Linked DNA regions of Alligator mississippiensis. The protein of the gene in region 1 interacts with the protein of each later gene in a biochemical or structural test. Links are inferred from orthologs where the notes say so. Each region holds a gene or a part of one and is shown on either strand. Other genes may lie near its edges.

Region 1 (6,854 bases):
TATTTTAATTGAGCTGTATATACTTGGATTGCATCCCTTTCTCTCAGCAGTCATGTATCACCTGTTTCCTTGGGCATCCAGCGTATGAGCTCCTCCGCACAGGCCCATCCATGCGGAGTCTTCTCGTGCAAACGAACGTGTAGCTCTGAGCCCACAAGTATAATCTGGTAGGGGAAGGGAGGGTTTGCTTGGGGGTGTTTGCACATGGGGCCTCTGGGCACCACAGTAGTAAAATATACGTGTTAAATCATAATGTCAAATTCTTGCCATTATTTCTTTGTTTTGTTCTTTACTTCCACTTTCAGATTCTCACTGTGCCAATATTTTGGGCTGCAAACACAGCAAGATGTCATTGTTTGCCTAGGATAATATTTTCCAGTGGATTATTTAAGGTTCTTTTGGCCCGGTGTTTAGCAAATGATGCTTTTCCAAAACAAGGAATTGTAGGACCCAATTTAAATGGAGAAGCATGTTCATTGCAGGATATGTCACGGGTAATTCCTACCTGCCTAGTAAGACATATGGTCCCCATCATCAGAGTCTCTGAATACCTTACTTGGCCAATGAAAAATTGATGTGAATACCCATATGCCAATAAGAAAATTCTTCACTTTGGACCTGATTCGCTTGCTTTTTCACTCATTGCTTTGCATATCCTAGATTGGTGGTTTGAAACGTGTGATCTGTAATAAGCTGATTGGTGCTGCCTCTGGCACCGTATTAACATTCCTCCACGTTTAAAACTTCATAAATTGCACTTCCACAACAGTTAAAACTATACTAACTGCTCTCCTCATCCTAACGGACCATGTAAGCAATTGCTGAAGTTGCTGCAGGGGTAGTATCTAGCTGTGAGTGGGTGGGGAGGAATGGGGTGGTGTGGGGGGGGGGGTGTGAGAGAGAAATCATGAATACGAGGGGAAGTTTCTAGGAGACAGTTCTTGTATAGTCCGTAGCGTGCAACACCTGGCTTGGATGCTAATCTGATGCCTCAAAATAAAGCCATATCCACTGGAGGCAGAAACGGTCCGTTTGGATGTCTGGTCCATCCCCGGCTAAAGCCCTTTTGCTTCCTACAGCGTAATGTTTTCTACTGCTTGCACGATCTACATTTAAGAGTCCTACGGTTTTGGACTTCTGCGTCTTATCCTAGAGAGGTTGTTCCAAACAGACACAAATCCCCTGGTCTTTCCAAGGCTTTAATTATTCATTTGTTTGTTTACTCTTGTGAAGCCTAGTTACGCTTCTTGCTTTAGACTAAATAAATCCTCTTTTTTTGTGTTGAATGAATGCTTTGGTTAGAGGTAGGTGCCCCCATGCGGACACTGATTCGTTTCATTATTCATATTTTTTTTTCTCTCAAAAGTTAGCGCCTTTAGACCACCAGCTGTTTTTGTGCGCTTCCTTTCTAGTAAAGTGTTGTCAGAACTGAAACCAATAGTAGAGGTTTGGTTTCTTTCTGAACCTTGTCAAGAAGATTCACCAAGTTCGTGGGCTGCTGCCTTGAGAACTGCAAGTCTGCTTTGTGGCTGCACCCCCCCGGACGGCCGGTTTGCTGTCAGACGAGCTCTGTCTCGACGCTACTGTTTGCAAGGTCTCTTCATCCCATTATACCCCTTAAAACCCAGGCCTAGCTTCCTTTATGTCAAGTCATTAAGATCATAAGAACGGCCATTTACTGGGTCAGACCAGAGGTGCATCGTGCCCAGTCGGTGTCCCCTCCTGGTGCACCTTTGACCTCCGCTCCCGTCCCTGGTGTGTTTTTCATCGTCCCAAGCAATTCATAGCGGCCTTCCTTTTCAAGGGAGGCTCATAGCGTTTCTTAATGGGCAGTGTCCCGTGGTAAAGCAACAGATAGACCTGTGTCACGCAGCTCCGGCTGAGAGTCTGGCTGCGTTTCCCCCCACACCTTTCCTTTTATGTACTCCCCATGCATGGTCCCACCAAGCCGCGGGATCTCTCGGTCAACCTCCTCCTGGCTCTGGCCACGCTGGTCATCTGCAAGATGAGGAAGGAGGCTGGCCGGGAAGTGCCCGGGCGAGGATGGTGCTGTTGTCCTCTCCGTCCTCTGCCCACGTCACCGCCGGCTCCCTCGACTCGTTCAGCGGGGCAGCAGGTGCTAGGATTGCCAAGAAGTCTCTAAATCCCCAGGAGACGGCTGAGAGGCACCCAGGAGATAAATAATAGGGCATTCATTAATAAACATGAAATGTTAAATTCATTAGTAAAAATGAAATGTTGCATCCGACGTATACAATAGTCCAGTGGGTTTTGAAAATGTCGTAGAAATGTGCATTTGCCTTCCCGACGCAAAGTCTACGCGCCGTAGCCCACGGCCGATAGATGCCAACACGTGGGCACGTCCGTCGGCGTTACGGAAACCTCCTGGAACAGATTCAAAGGGAGTTGGCGCCCCGAGTGGGCGCTGGCTGGCGCGCTCTGCTCTGTGTCCCCCTCCGCATCCCTGGTTTTGAACCCGTAACCCTCGTTCCCGTTCTTGGTTTCTTTTTCATTCGTCCTAAGCAACCCGTCGTTGCGTTCTCAGCGGCCTCCCTCTTTAAGGGGGCTTCTAGACGTTCACGGTGGGCCGAGGCCCGCGTTCGCTGAGCATGCCAAGAAGCCCGTGTTGCACCGAAGGCTGGGGGGAGAGTGACCCGGTCTGAGCATGGTTTCCCCTGCTCCTCTCCCCCTTGCAACCTCTGACGCGGAGCCCCTGCCCCTCGCTCCCCGCTCGGCAGCGACCGATGCCCCTTTCCTCCCAGCACGTGCCCAAGCCAGGTTGGCCATCGTAGAGGACAGCGCGGTTGTCCTTTGTCCTCTCTTGAGACGAAACCCGATGCCTTTAGGTCCTCTGTTTTTCTCTTCAAGACAAAATGGCGCCGGGTTTTGTCTCAAGAGAGGACAGAGGAGCAGAAAACCAGCCTGTCGTCTTTGACGGCCGCCCTACCGCCATGTCGGTCTAAGGCAGCGGGCCCACGCCAGCTAGGTTGGCCGTCGTGGAGGAGAGTCTGGTTGTCCTCTCTTGATACGAAACCGGACACCTTTACTTCCTCTCTTGAAAAGAAGAGAGGACGTAAACACATTGGGTTTCGTAGCAAGAGAGGACAGAGGAGCAGAAAACCGGACTGTCGTCTACGATGGCCACCCTACCGTCGGGCGGCCACCACAGAGGACAGCCCAGTTGTCCTCGGTCCTCTGTTGATATGAAACCCGACGCCGTTATGTCTTCTGTTTTTGTCTTCAAGGGAAAAACAGGGGATGTAAAGGCATCAGGTTTCGTATCACGAGAGGAGCAGGAAACCGGCCTGTCCTCCATGATGGTTGCCTAACGTTGGGCGGCCGTCATCGAGGACAGGCCCGTTGTCCGATACGAAACCCGGCAGCTTTACATCCTCAACTTTTCTGCCCCAGACACAAACAGAGGACAGCGAGGCGTGGGGTTTCGTATCGACGGAGCCGCAGAACAGCGGCCGGTCCCGTACAACAGTTGCTGCCGGATGAGAGCGCTGACACCGTGCCCGGCAGCCTTCACCCCCGGGGCTTCATGGCGCGCTGTGCTCAGATGAATGACGGGGGAAGGCCGCTTTTCATTCTCCACGCATCGTGCGCCTATTTTGGGGTGCAATGGTGAACCTCGGGCCCAGGCGCCCCCGACCACCATGCTCTGTGGCGGTTGCTAGGGCGGTTGCCAGGGCGCCATGTTGGCTGTGGGGGTCCCGCTGCCCCGCGGGCCTGTGGCGGTTGCTAGGGCGGTTGTCAGGGCGCCATGTTGGCGGGAGGGGGAGGCGCCCCGGAAGTGCTGCCCGGGCGGGGGTTTCTCTTCCGGGGCGGCCGGGCCGGACCCGGCCAGGTTAGGAGGAGGCAGGAAATGGCGGCGTCGCTGCAGCAGCAGCTGCCGGGGCCTCCCGCTCCGCCGTGCCGGGCCCAGGCCGCCTAGGAGCCGCGGCCAGCGCCGGGCCCGGGCCGGACTCCGAGCACTTTACCTACATGAGGTGAGGTGCGGCGCGGCGGGGTGAGGGGGGCGGGCAGGCAGGCGGGCGGGGGCCCGACACCGACCGCCGTAACGACCGCCCGCCGTAACGACCGACCAACCGCCCGGCCTTTCTGTTGCAGAGAGTTGGAAGCCAAAGCTACCAAAGACGTGGGGAGAAAACTACGCAGGTAAGAAACAAACCGCCCTGCTCCCGGGCCCGGGGGCGAGCGTGTGCGTGAGTGCGTGTGCGTGCGTGTGTATTTGTGTGTGCGTGCGTGCGTGTCCACACAAGATGCCGACCGCGCCGTCACGGAGTATTCGTGTGTGTGTGTGCAAAGCAACAGACACGCGTGCACCCGAGTGCGAAGGGACGGCGTCGTCGAGCAGCTGTGCGGCGGCGCCGACCCCGCGGCCGTGTGTCGCTCCCGCGCGGTGGTGTCATGTCGCGCCGCGCCGGAGCAACGAGCGACCGCGCGGTCGGTGGAGACGGATTCACACGCGCGCGAGTCCGTCGCCCGTTTCTTTTTGGGGGTTTTTTTTCCTGGAGACCGGCTGCGATGTCTGCCTGGAATCGCAAGGTCACCGGTTGCAAAAAGGTTTAAAAGAAGGGAAGGCAGAAATCCCGGGTTTAGACGGATCGGGCTCGGTCGGCTGTGTAGTCGCTCTGCACACGCGCGTGTGCAAATCATTGGTGGGAAGGGGGGGGGGGCATGGGGTTCCTGCTCCGAGGAGGAGCCCCTGGGAAGACGCAGCGCTGCAGGTCGGCTCCCCCCAAACTTGTCCAGTCGACCCCGCCTTAACGTCGATGAACCAGCCTTTCCCACGAGCTTCGTACGAGCTCTCTGCTGTGAAGCAACCCGTCATCCTCTGTATCCAGGCATCGAGGCCACGATTCTGCCCGTGACCAGTGCTGGAGATGTGCTGGGAGGCCGAGGGCACGGGAGTTTCAATATTGATGACTTAGCATGTGACGCTAAGACGCCGACACCAGGGTTGTGTATATTGCTCTTGTGAAAAGGCACGTGCCAGGTGTCCTAGTAGGACGATGTTTTTGCAGATACCTGCAACTCTGCTATCACGTTGGCACTGTCTTTCACTATATTCAGTTTTTCCTTCTTTTGGTTTTCCTCCATGCCCTCTGTAGGGCTAGTTACGATGAAGGGAGTTGCGTTGGGGAGGACTGCCTGGTTCAAAACTTGGCAAAAACTCAAGGGCAGCTGCTAGGACCGTATTTTTCAGGTCCTGTTTTTTTGGGGGTCTAGTCTATTTTGAAGTTTAAGTTAGCTTTATAACAACACTGGAAATTGAAGTTTCCTGTCCCTTGAGTATATCTTTTTTTTTTTTGGTAGCACCATACTCAAGAGCTGGCCTTTTGTTTAACTGTTAAATGCTATTTTATTTGGGGTGGGGTTACAATAGAATTGAATTAAGGTGCAGTTTGTATAGAAGCCTGAAAATAAAGGTAATAGGATCCTTCAGAAAATACTTTAGGGTCATTTTCAAATTGAAGGGAACAATTCTTAATCGCAGCTTAAAAACCATTTGTCTGTATACAAAATTAAAGTACGCCTAGAAAGAATGTAAATAAACTAAAACATAAGCGTTCCCTTTATGGAAAGAATACCCAGTCTATATGGTGTTAAATATTTGCTGACACGCCTGGTTTGGCTGGAAGAGCAAAGTGTTGGTTGAAGATGCACTGAAATATAATTAGTCACCAAAATGTGAAAGTCCACCAGTGCATTAAGAGAATTGTCCTAATACTTTTTGGAAAGTTTTAATTCAAGTAGTTGCCCACATCCTCTGCAGTGTTTGAATTCAGTTGCCTTGGCATTGCACAAAACTTTCAGCAAGATCTCTTTTGAAGTGAAAAGAAAATGCAGCTTATAATTGTAAGATTGTGCCAGGAACTGCTTACAAAGCAAGAAGGTGGTGGGGGGGGACAATACCTGCATGGAGCGGAGAGGAGGAGGAGGAGCAGTCCTGGTGCCAAGAGTAGATTCTGCGATGGAGGAAAGCTGCTGCTGCTGCTGCTGCGTGTCACTCTTCTGAGGGCGCTGGCAGCAGCCAGGAGGGATGAGGAGCAGGGTCCTAGCACTTGGGAGAGGAGCATGAAGCTTTTGAATGAAGAACAACGGAACGAGCGGATTAGGAAGGAAATCATAGATGCCACTCCAGCCCCCCTCAAAGTCTCAACATTTCAGTAATAGCCATTCTGTTGTTAATAGTTGTCAGTTTTTTAATACTAATAGGCCACTTGTCCTGTTGCCAAGTAACTTGTAACTATCAGCAGTTTATTCCTGATGACTGTAACCCAGGGATTTGAAACTTCAAGTTCTCGATAAGGATCTTAATTTCCAATCTTCATCCTCTTCAGAACGTTCCATCTTAAGGAGCTAAATACTACATGCTAATATTCAGTTAAACATGGGCCCCCATCTTAATTGCAAACTGTAAGTGGTACCACGTTACAAATAATATCTCAGAAGCGTGACACCTTGTTTTGATAATGCTAGTGATATGGCGCACATGCTGGCACCTTCTACAGGGGAAAAATGTGAAAGATCAGTGCTTGCCAAACAGCAGTGATAGAGAAACTGAATTAAATTACAGCCTGCAAGGAGGTATTACAAAGAGCCAACAGTTTTAAATAATGAGGAATTGTTAATTTGTATATTTAAATAGCACTTACATTTTGGATTGCCTATACCGCCCTTTAAAATATTTCCTTATCAGTACTTTAGACTTGTATACAAAGCTTCTAAAATAAGATATACTTATGGTTCCTTATTTATTAGTGCTAGAACTTTTTGCACCTGGTAATATACAGGTCTTTCAAAGCAGCGTTCCCTTTAAGGCCTCCATATGTGTTTTGTTAAAA
Region 2 (7,332 bases), on another chromosome or scaffold:
TTAGTGTGGGTGTGCATGTGCTCGCAGACACACACCGATGAGATTTCCTCTCCCTCTTCCTCTTGCCACCTGGCTCTTCAGCTCCATGTCAGAGGTCCTCTCTTGTTTGGCCTTGTAGCGTTCTGGAGCCCTGAAGTTATTTGATCTGTTCCAGCTATAGAAAAACACAAATTTAGTAGTGACCGTAATAAGCAAAAATAGTAACAGGTCTTCATAGTTAAACACATTTTGGGGGCCTGGCCACAGGAGTTACTATTGTCCTTTGTATTTTGATACAAGGCCCTGGCAGCCATGAGGGAGAAGGACGAAGGGGATGCCTCCAGTGGGGACGATGCCACTCCACGCACAACACAGATGGTGCAGAGAGGGAACATCAGGAGAAGGAAACGCCAGGTCCTCGTCATTGGGGACTCCATCCTAAGGGGAGTGGATGGTCCCATCTGCCGACCCAACCCCGTGGCATGAGAGGTCTGCTTCATGCCTGGAGCTCAGATTCAGGACATCAGAGAGAGGACCCCAGCCTACATTCGACCGTCAGACCAGTACCCCATGGTTCTCATCCACGTGGGAACAAATGACGCGGACAGAGGCAACCCAGACTGCATCATGAAGGACTTCGAGGCCCTGGGGGCTAAGCTGAAGGAGATGACACCAAGATTTGGGGTGAGAAGGGAAGAAGGGAAGGACAGGTTCCTCCTTGTCCTTAAGCAGGAGGAACTTGCCCTCCAGATAGCTAGTTCAAACCTGGACATAGCGGGGCTCACAGAAACCTGGTGGGATTCATCCCATGACTGGGCAGTCAACATTAGGGTCTATAGGCTATACAGGTGGGATAGAATGGGGAGGAAAGGCGGGGGTGTGGTGCTCTACGTCGAAGAGCAATACACATCCTCTACCAGCAGGATGGGGTCCGAGGAGGGGCAGGCTGAAGTGCTCTGGGTCAGAATACAGGGGGGTTGTGAGGAAAGGGACTTAATGGTGGGGGTCTACTATGCACCTCCCAACCAAGGGGAAGAGCTGGACCATGAATTCTCGGGCCAGCTTGCGGAGGCACTTAAGGCAAGGGATGTAGTCATCATGGGTGATCTAAATTACACGGACATCTGCTGGGAGGAGCAGTCAGCCAGGTCTGACTGCTCACGGAGGTTCCTGGCCAAGATACAGGACCTCCACTTAACCCAGGAGGTACACAGTCCCACCAGGGGGAATGCCCTCCTGGATCTGGTTCTGGCCACAGGCAATGACCTGGTGAGGGGACTCCAGGTCCTCGACCACCTGGGCGATAGCAATCATCGCTTGCTGGAATTCACCATCCAGCGCAGGATGTCAAGGGCCTGCAGTAAGGCAGTAGCCTTGACTTCAAGAGGGCCAACTTCAATGAGCTAAGGAGATTAGTGAGGGAGGCACTAGGGTCCTGGAGAGTAGGGGAATTGGGTGCCCAAGATGAGTGGTCGTTCCTTAAGGAGATGATACTCAGAGCCCAAGGGGTGACAATCCTAACAAGAAGCAAGGGGCGCAAGAGTGCCCAAAAGCCCCCCTGGCTCACCAAGGGCATTTGTGAATGCCTGATTGCCAAAAAGGAGGCGTACACCCAGTGGAAGGGAGGGGCTATCACCAAAGAGGAGTATACCTCCACCGCTTGGTTCTGTAGGGGGGCTGTTAAGAAAGCTAAGGCAAATACGGAACTAGGGCTAGCATCAAGGATCAAGGACAACGAAAAGTCCTTTTTTAAATACATAGAATGAAGAAGGCCCCGGGTAATGTGGGGCTGCTGCAGGACTAGGCAATCTGGTGGTTGCACCAGAGGAGAAAGCAGACCTGTTTAACAATTTCTTCACCTCTATTTTCTTGTGCAGGGACTGGGACTCCCTTACTGAGATTCAGGATGGACTCAGGAGGGACTCTGACAGGCCTAGGGTCAGGGAAGACCAAGTTAGGGAACTTCTGGAGGGGCTGGACGTGTTCAAATCAGCAGGTCCAGATGCTCTCCACCCCAGGGTGCTGAGGGAATTGGCAGGGGTTATCACGGGGCCCCTGGCACGGCTTTATGAGCACTTGTGGTGCTCTGGCCAGGTGCCGGATGACTGGAAGAGGGCCAATGTGGTCCCCATCTTTAAAAAAAGGAAGAGGGAGGACCCAGGCAACTATAGGCCTGTTAGTCTTACTTCAATCCTGGGGAAGCTTTTTGAGAAGATTATCCAGGAGCACATCCGTGATGGGCCAGCAGTGGGGATGATGTTCAAGGCGAACCAGCATGGGTTCACTAGAGGCAGGTTCTGTCAGACCAACCTGGTTGCCTTCTATGATCAGGTCACAAAATCATTGGACGCAGGTGTCGCCGTGGACATAGTCTTTCTGGACTTCAGGAAGGCCTTTGACACACTCTCCCATCCCATCCTCATTAAACAGCTAGGTGACTGTGGCATTGATGCCTACACAGTCAGATGGGTCGCAAATTGGCTGAGGGGTCATACTCTGAGAGTGGTGGTGGACGGGTCATATTTGACCTGGAGGGAAGTAGGCAGTGGGGTCCCCCAGGGCTCCGTCCTTGGGCCTGCACTGTTCAGTATCTTTATTAGTGACTTGGACGAGGGGGTGAAGAGCAGCCTGTTTAAATTCGCAGACGACACCAAGATTTGGGGTGAGAAGGGAAGAAGGGAAGGACAGATTACAGCAGGACCTGGACAGGTTACAGGGGTGGGCAAATGAAAATAGGATGGGACTCAATACTGACAAGTGCAAGGTGCTGCACTTGGGCAGTGGGAACCAGCAGCAGACCTACAGGCTGGGGAACTCCCTTCTTGCCAGCACAGTGGCAGGAAGAGATCTTGGAGTCATTATTGATTCCAGGATGAACATGGGCTGCCAATGCGAGAACAGTCAGTAGGGCTAACCGTACCTTGTCGTGTATCCACAGATGCATCTCGAGCAGGTCCAAGGAGGTGATCCTCCCCCTCTACGCGACACTGGTCAGGTCCCAGTTGGAGTACTGCGTCCAGTTCTGGGAGCCGCACTTCAGGAGGGATGTGGACAGCATGGAGAGGGTCCAGAGGAGGCCACCCGCATGATCAGGGGGCAGCAGGGCAGGCCCTACAAGGAGAGGCTACGGGGCCTGAACCTGTTCAGCCTCCACAAGAGAAGGCTGAGAGGGATCTGGTGACCATCTATAAACTTACCAGGGGGGACCAGCGGGGTTTTGGAGAGACCTTGTTCCCCTGAGCACCTCCCAGAGTAACAAGGAATAACGGCCATAAGTTGCTAGAGAGTAGATTCAGATTAGACATCCGAAGACGCTAGTTCACTGTCAGGGCGGCTAGGATCTGGAACCAACTGCCAAGGGAAGCGGTGCTGGCTCCTACCCTGGGGGGCTTTAGGAGGAAGCTTGATGTTTACCCGGCTGGGGCCATTTGAGCCCAGTTCTCTCTCCTGCCCAGGGAAGGGGTCAGCCTAGGTCTACAAAGTCTCTTCCAACCCTACATCTATGAGTCTATGATATTGGGTGTTGTATGTATATATTTTATATTTGTTGCTCTGTGTGTGTGTGTGTGTATATGTGCGTGTAATATTTGTTATATATCTATATCTATAGATATATATATTTGTTGTGTGTGTACATGTATAATATATATATATATAAAACGCATCGTTGTGTACGTACATTTCATACGTGTTGTTGCGGCAGTGAAGTTGCTGCAGCAGCCCGGGCCAGCACTACTCCAGTCTTTTGTCCTTTGCTCGTTTGTAACCGAGAGGCCACCTTCACGTTTCCGCACGTACCGCAGAGACGCCCCGGGCCGCGCCCCTGCCCCTGCCCCTGCCCCGGAGAGCGGGGTGCGCGCGGGGCGAGGCGGAGGGGCCGTGGCCGTGGGCGCAGCGCGGTCGCAAGCCCGGGCACGCAGATCCGGCGGCCCCCGCGAGGGGGTTAAGGAGCAGAGGCAGGCCCAGCACACCCCCTGGAGGAGGCGGCGCCGGCTGCTCGCCTGAGCCAGCACGACCTGAGGCAGCGGAGACGGGAAGTGGAGGCGGGAGAGGCCGGGCCGCGAGGAGCGACGTGCCCCGTGTGCGGCTCCACGGCAGCGAGCTCCAGCCCGGGGGGGCCGCCCCCCTTCCCGCTCCCCCCGCCAGTGACAAGGCGGGGCCCCGCGCCCGCCCTCCACGTGGCTCCCACCCGCCCCCTGCGCGCCGGACTGAGGGGCCGTTTCCCGCCGGCGGGGCGGGGCGGGGCTCCACGTGACCAGGCGGCTCCTCCCCTCGTCGGCCCCGCCCCCTCCGCGGCCTCCACGTGACCAGGCGGCTCCTCCCCCTCCGCGGCCCCGCCGACCCGCCCGGCTCCCGGCTCCCGGCTCGGCTCGGCTCGGCTCCGCTGACCCGGACAGAGTGAGGCGCCGCGCCCCGCCGCGCCGCGCACGGAGACATGTACCCGGGAGCCGCCGCCGCCGCCGCCGGGCCGGGTGAGTCCGCCCGCCCGCCCGCCCGGGCCTGGCGGGGCCTCCGCAATGGCCGCGCGCGTGAGGGAGGGAGACAGGGGGGTGGGGGCAGGGCAGGGCAGGGCAGGCCGCCGCCGCCGCCTGAGGGAGGCCCCTGCGGGCCTGGCGGAGCAGGGGGAGGCGTGGGCCGAGCCGGCGGGTCCCCCGCGCTCCGTGGGGGCGGAGCGGGGTCCCGGGCCGGGCGGGGGGGGTGCTCGGCTCCTCCCCGCTGCCGCAGCTGGAGGCGGCTTCGCCCCCTGCCGCCCTCACCGGCTCCTGCGCTGCTGGGGGTGGGCGCAGGGAGGATGGGGGGGCGAGGGCGTCCCTCCTGGGGCAAGGCCCTCCTGCCCTCCCTTCCCGGGCGCAGGGTCCAAGGCGCGCGCCCCTCGGGGCAGAGGTTGCTGCTGCGCGTCTGCCCGCGCTGCGGCGGGGACACGGCTCCTACGCCTCGTATTAAAAAAAAGAAAAAATGCCTGTGAGCTGGGCTGGCGGCGAGCCGGGCAGTGCCACCCCGATGCTGGACGCCAGCGTCGCCACATCTTGGTTAGTGTGTGCTCGCCGCAGTCCGACCTGTGAGACGTTGCAGCCGCCGTATCGACGTCCGTGTCGTTACCTGACTTCTCAAACCCCGTCGCTCGTCTGGCCTCTCGGGCCGTGCCGCTCAGATTGGCGTGGCGTTATCCTTCTGCCATGTTCATCTCTCTCGCTTCACCGGGGTTGTCTGGGTTTCTCGGAGCAACGTAAAAATACATTGATTTCACGAGAGACTACGTTTTGGTTGATACTAAACGTGAAAATTTAGTCTTGGGTTGAGAGAGAGAGAATCTTTAATTAAGGAAGTGTGAACAAGAGGCGTCAGTCAGTCTTAATGTTCATCTCAATGTTTTCCTAATCTCTTCTGGGGGGGAAAAAAAAAGAAGGAAAAGCTTGTTGTGAAGAGGGACTTTAATTTCTGTCGTCTTTTCACAGTGATGTGCTCTTAACTTTATAAGAGTACAGTTATTTGGCAAAGTCTGAAACTACTTTGTCATCTCGTACTCATTTTTCTTGCACCAGTATTGTATGTGGGCTATGGTTTTTATCTATACTGGTTTACAAATTTACCTTGACACAAAAAAGATAAAACATTTGTAGACATCTGCTGACTGAAGCCATTGGACTATAGTGCAGTTTTAAATAAAACGCTGAATACTTTTAGATTAATTAATAATAAAACATGTAGCTAGTTTAATGCCTGAATTTAGTGATAGTTTTACTCTTTTTAGGGTGCCCTGATACCTCCTAAAAAGCCCTTAAAAACAAATTGTAAAACTTACACAATGTATGGGTTGTTTTTCCTCTTGCTTTCTACTTTTCACCTGAGCCTCTTGTTCCCTGTTGGTGATGCGCTGTTTGAAGAGAAGAGTCTGATTTTTATAACAGGCTTTGCTTGCAGAAGAAAAAAGAATGGATGAACTTTATGCTTTTATTACTTCCAAATATGAAAAAATCAGTTTTACCAAGTTCTCTCTTATGAGTCACTGTGTTTCTAGGAGTATAAAAAACTAAGTTATTACCGTTCATTTGCTAGTAACAGAGCTATAATAATGCCTAAAAGGGTTGCTTTTTTCTGCTATTATTTTAATCTATTTGCAGCTTGGTGATATACCTTAGGGGTTCTCATGTTTGCTTTTCAACTCATGTAAATGTCTTCAACAGTTCAAGTTTTTTAGTGTGTTGGTGTGACTGGTCAGAATCTGGTTTTATATCCTAATTCAGATGAGGCGTAGAATCCAGATCATTCAGTTTGCGGTTTGCACTCAGTAGTAGATTAAGGAATGAAAGACAAGCTGTTTGCTGCAGCTATTACTTCAGAAGGTGCTGCTTTGATCCACTGGTCCTGCACAGCGGATCAGAGAAATGATATCTTTTGGAGTAAGAATGACAGCAAAATATTGGAATATCTCTGCAGTCTGTTTTCTTTGCACGGAGTGATAAACATGCATAATGTTGACAAGCTTGAAATATTTAGAGTTGAAAACAGCATGTTGCCCATGCCTCCGCAGCCCCAGAACAAGGCTTCATTTTATTTCAAGGAGAGCTCTTGGTGTCCGTTTTTCGTATAGTATGAGAGACATCTAGTCAACCACAGCACTTACTGGCTGAGGAGTGCACCGGAGCAGTCCATGGCCCCTCACGGTGCAGAGATGGATACCCGATGGCCTTTTTTGTTTAGAATTCGAAGTGATTGAGAATGGAGAAAATGGGTGTCTTTGACTTGAGAGTCAAAGCTTTTACCTGGATGGACTAGCATGGGATGATGATGCTGGTTCTCATCTTCTAATTCTAATAGACAGATTTGCCTGACCTGGAATTAAACTATTTCTTCTGAGAGTGTCAGGATTGTTGAGCTTGCCCCTAAATAGTGTCAACTGTCTTGTCTTTTCATATCCATTGCAGAATTTGCATTGCTTTATCTAAAGAACAAATTGCATTGAGAACTTCAGTAGTGCCAGGTGTAAATGAGGAAGTGACAGATATAATGGCTATTCTGTGTCTCAGTTTGTGTTATGATAGTTTTAAATTTGTTACTATAGTAATATACAGCACTGTTTAAAGTTTATATTGCGAACTTGTTTTTTCCTGTAGTGTATGTGTTAATATTGTCAACACCTGTACTATATTTTTTCAACAGTCTGTATAGCCTTAGGGACAGCTCGAAGTATGAAGTAGTTGCTATAGCGCAAACTCAGCTGACCTGTGTATGCCAGACTTGCTGTTATATTCATGTATGCTTTAGTGCAGCCTTCTTGAATAACAGTGAGAATTCCCTGCACAGAAAAATCTATGACTGGGTGCTAGATAAGATTGCAGTGACAAGGGACCT

The links.
Region 2: the proteins of TNRC6A (region 1) and AGO2 form a complex in vitro, tested with the Homo sapiens proteins (2 studies listed by BioGRID). The link is inferred for Alligator mississippiensis from reciprocal best matches to the Homo sapiens genes TNRC6A and AGO2.

Annotation. Positions count from the first base shown.
Region 1 is NC_081836.1:58,591,907-58,598,760, forward strand, and holds the start of TNRC6A (trinucleotide repeat-containing gene 6A protein), read left to right. Parts: upstream 1-3,840; 5' UTR 3,841-3,987; coding exon 3,988-3,992; intron 3,993-4,113; coding exon 4,114-4,161; intron 4,162-6,854.
Region 2 is NC_081826.1:7,731,151-7,738,482, forward strand, and holds the start of AGO2 (protein argonaute-2), read left to right. Parts: upstream 1-4,317; 5' UTR 4,318-4,414; coding exon 4,415-4,451; intron 4,452-7,332.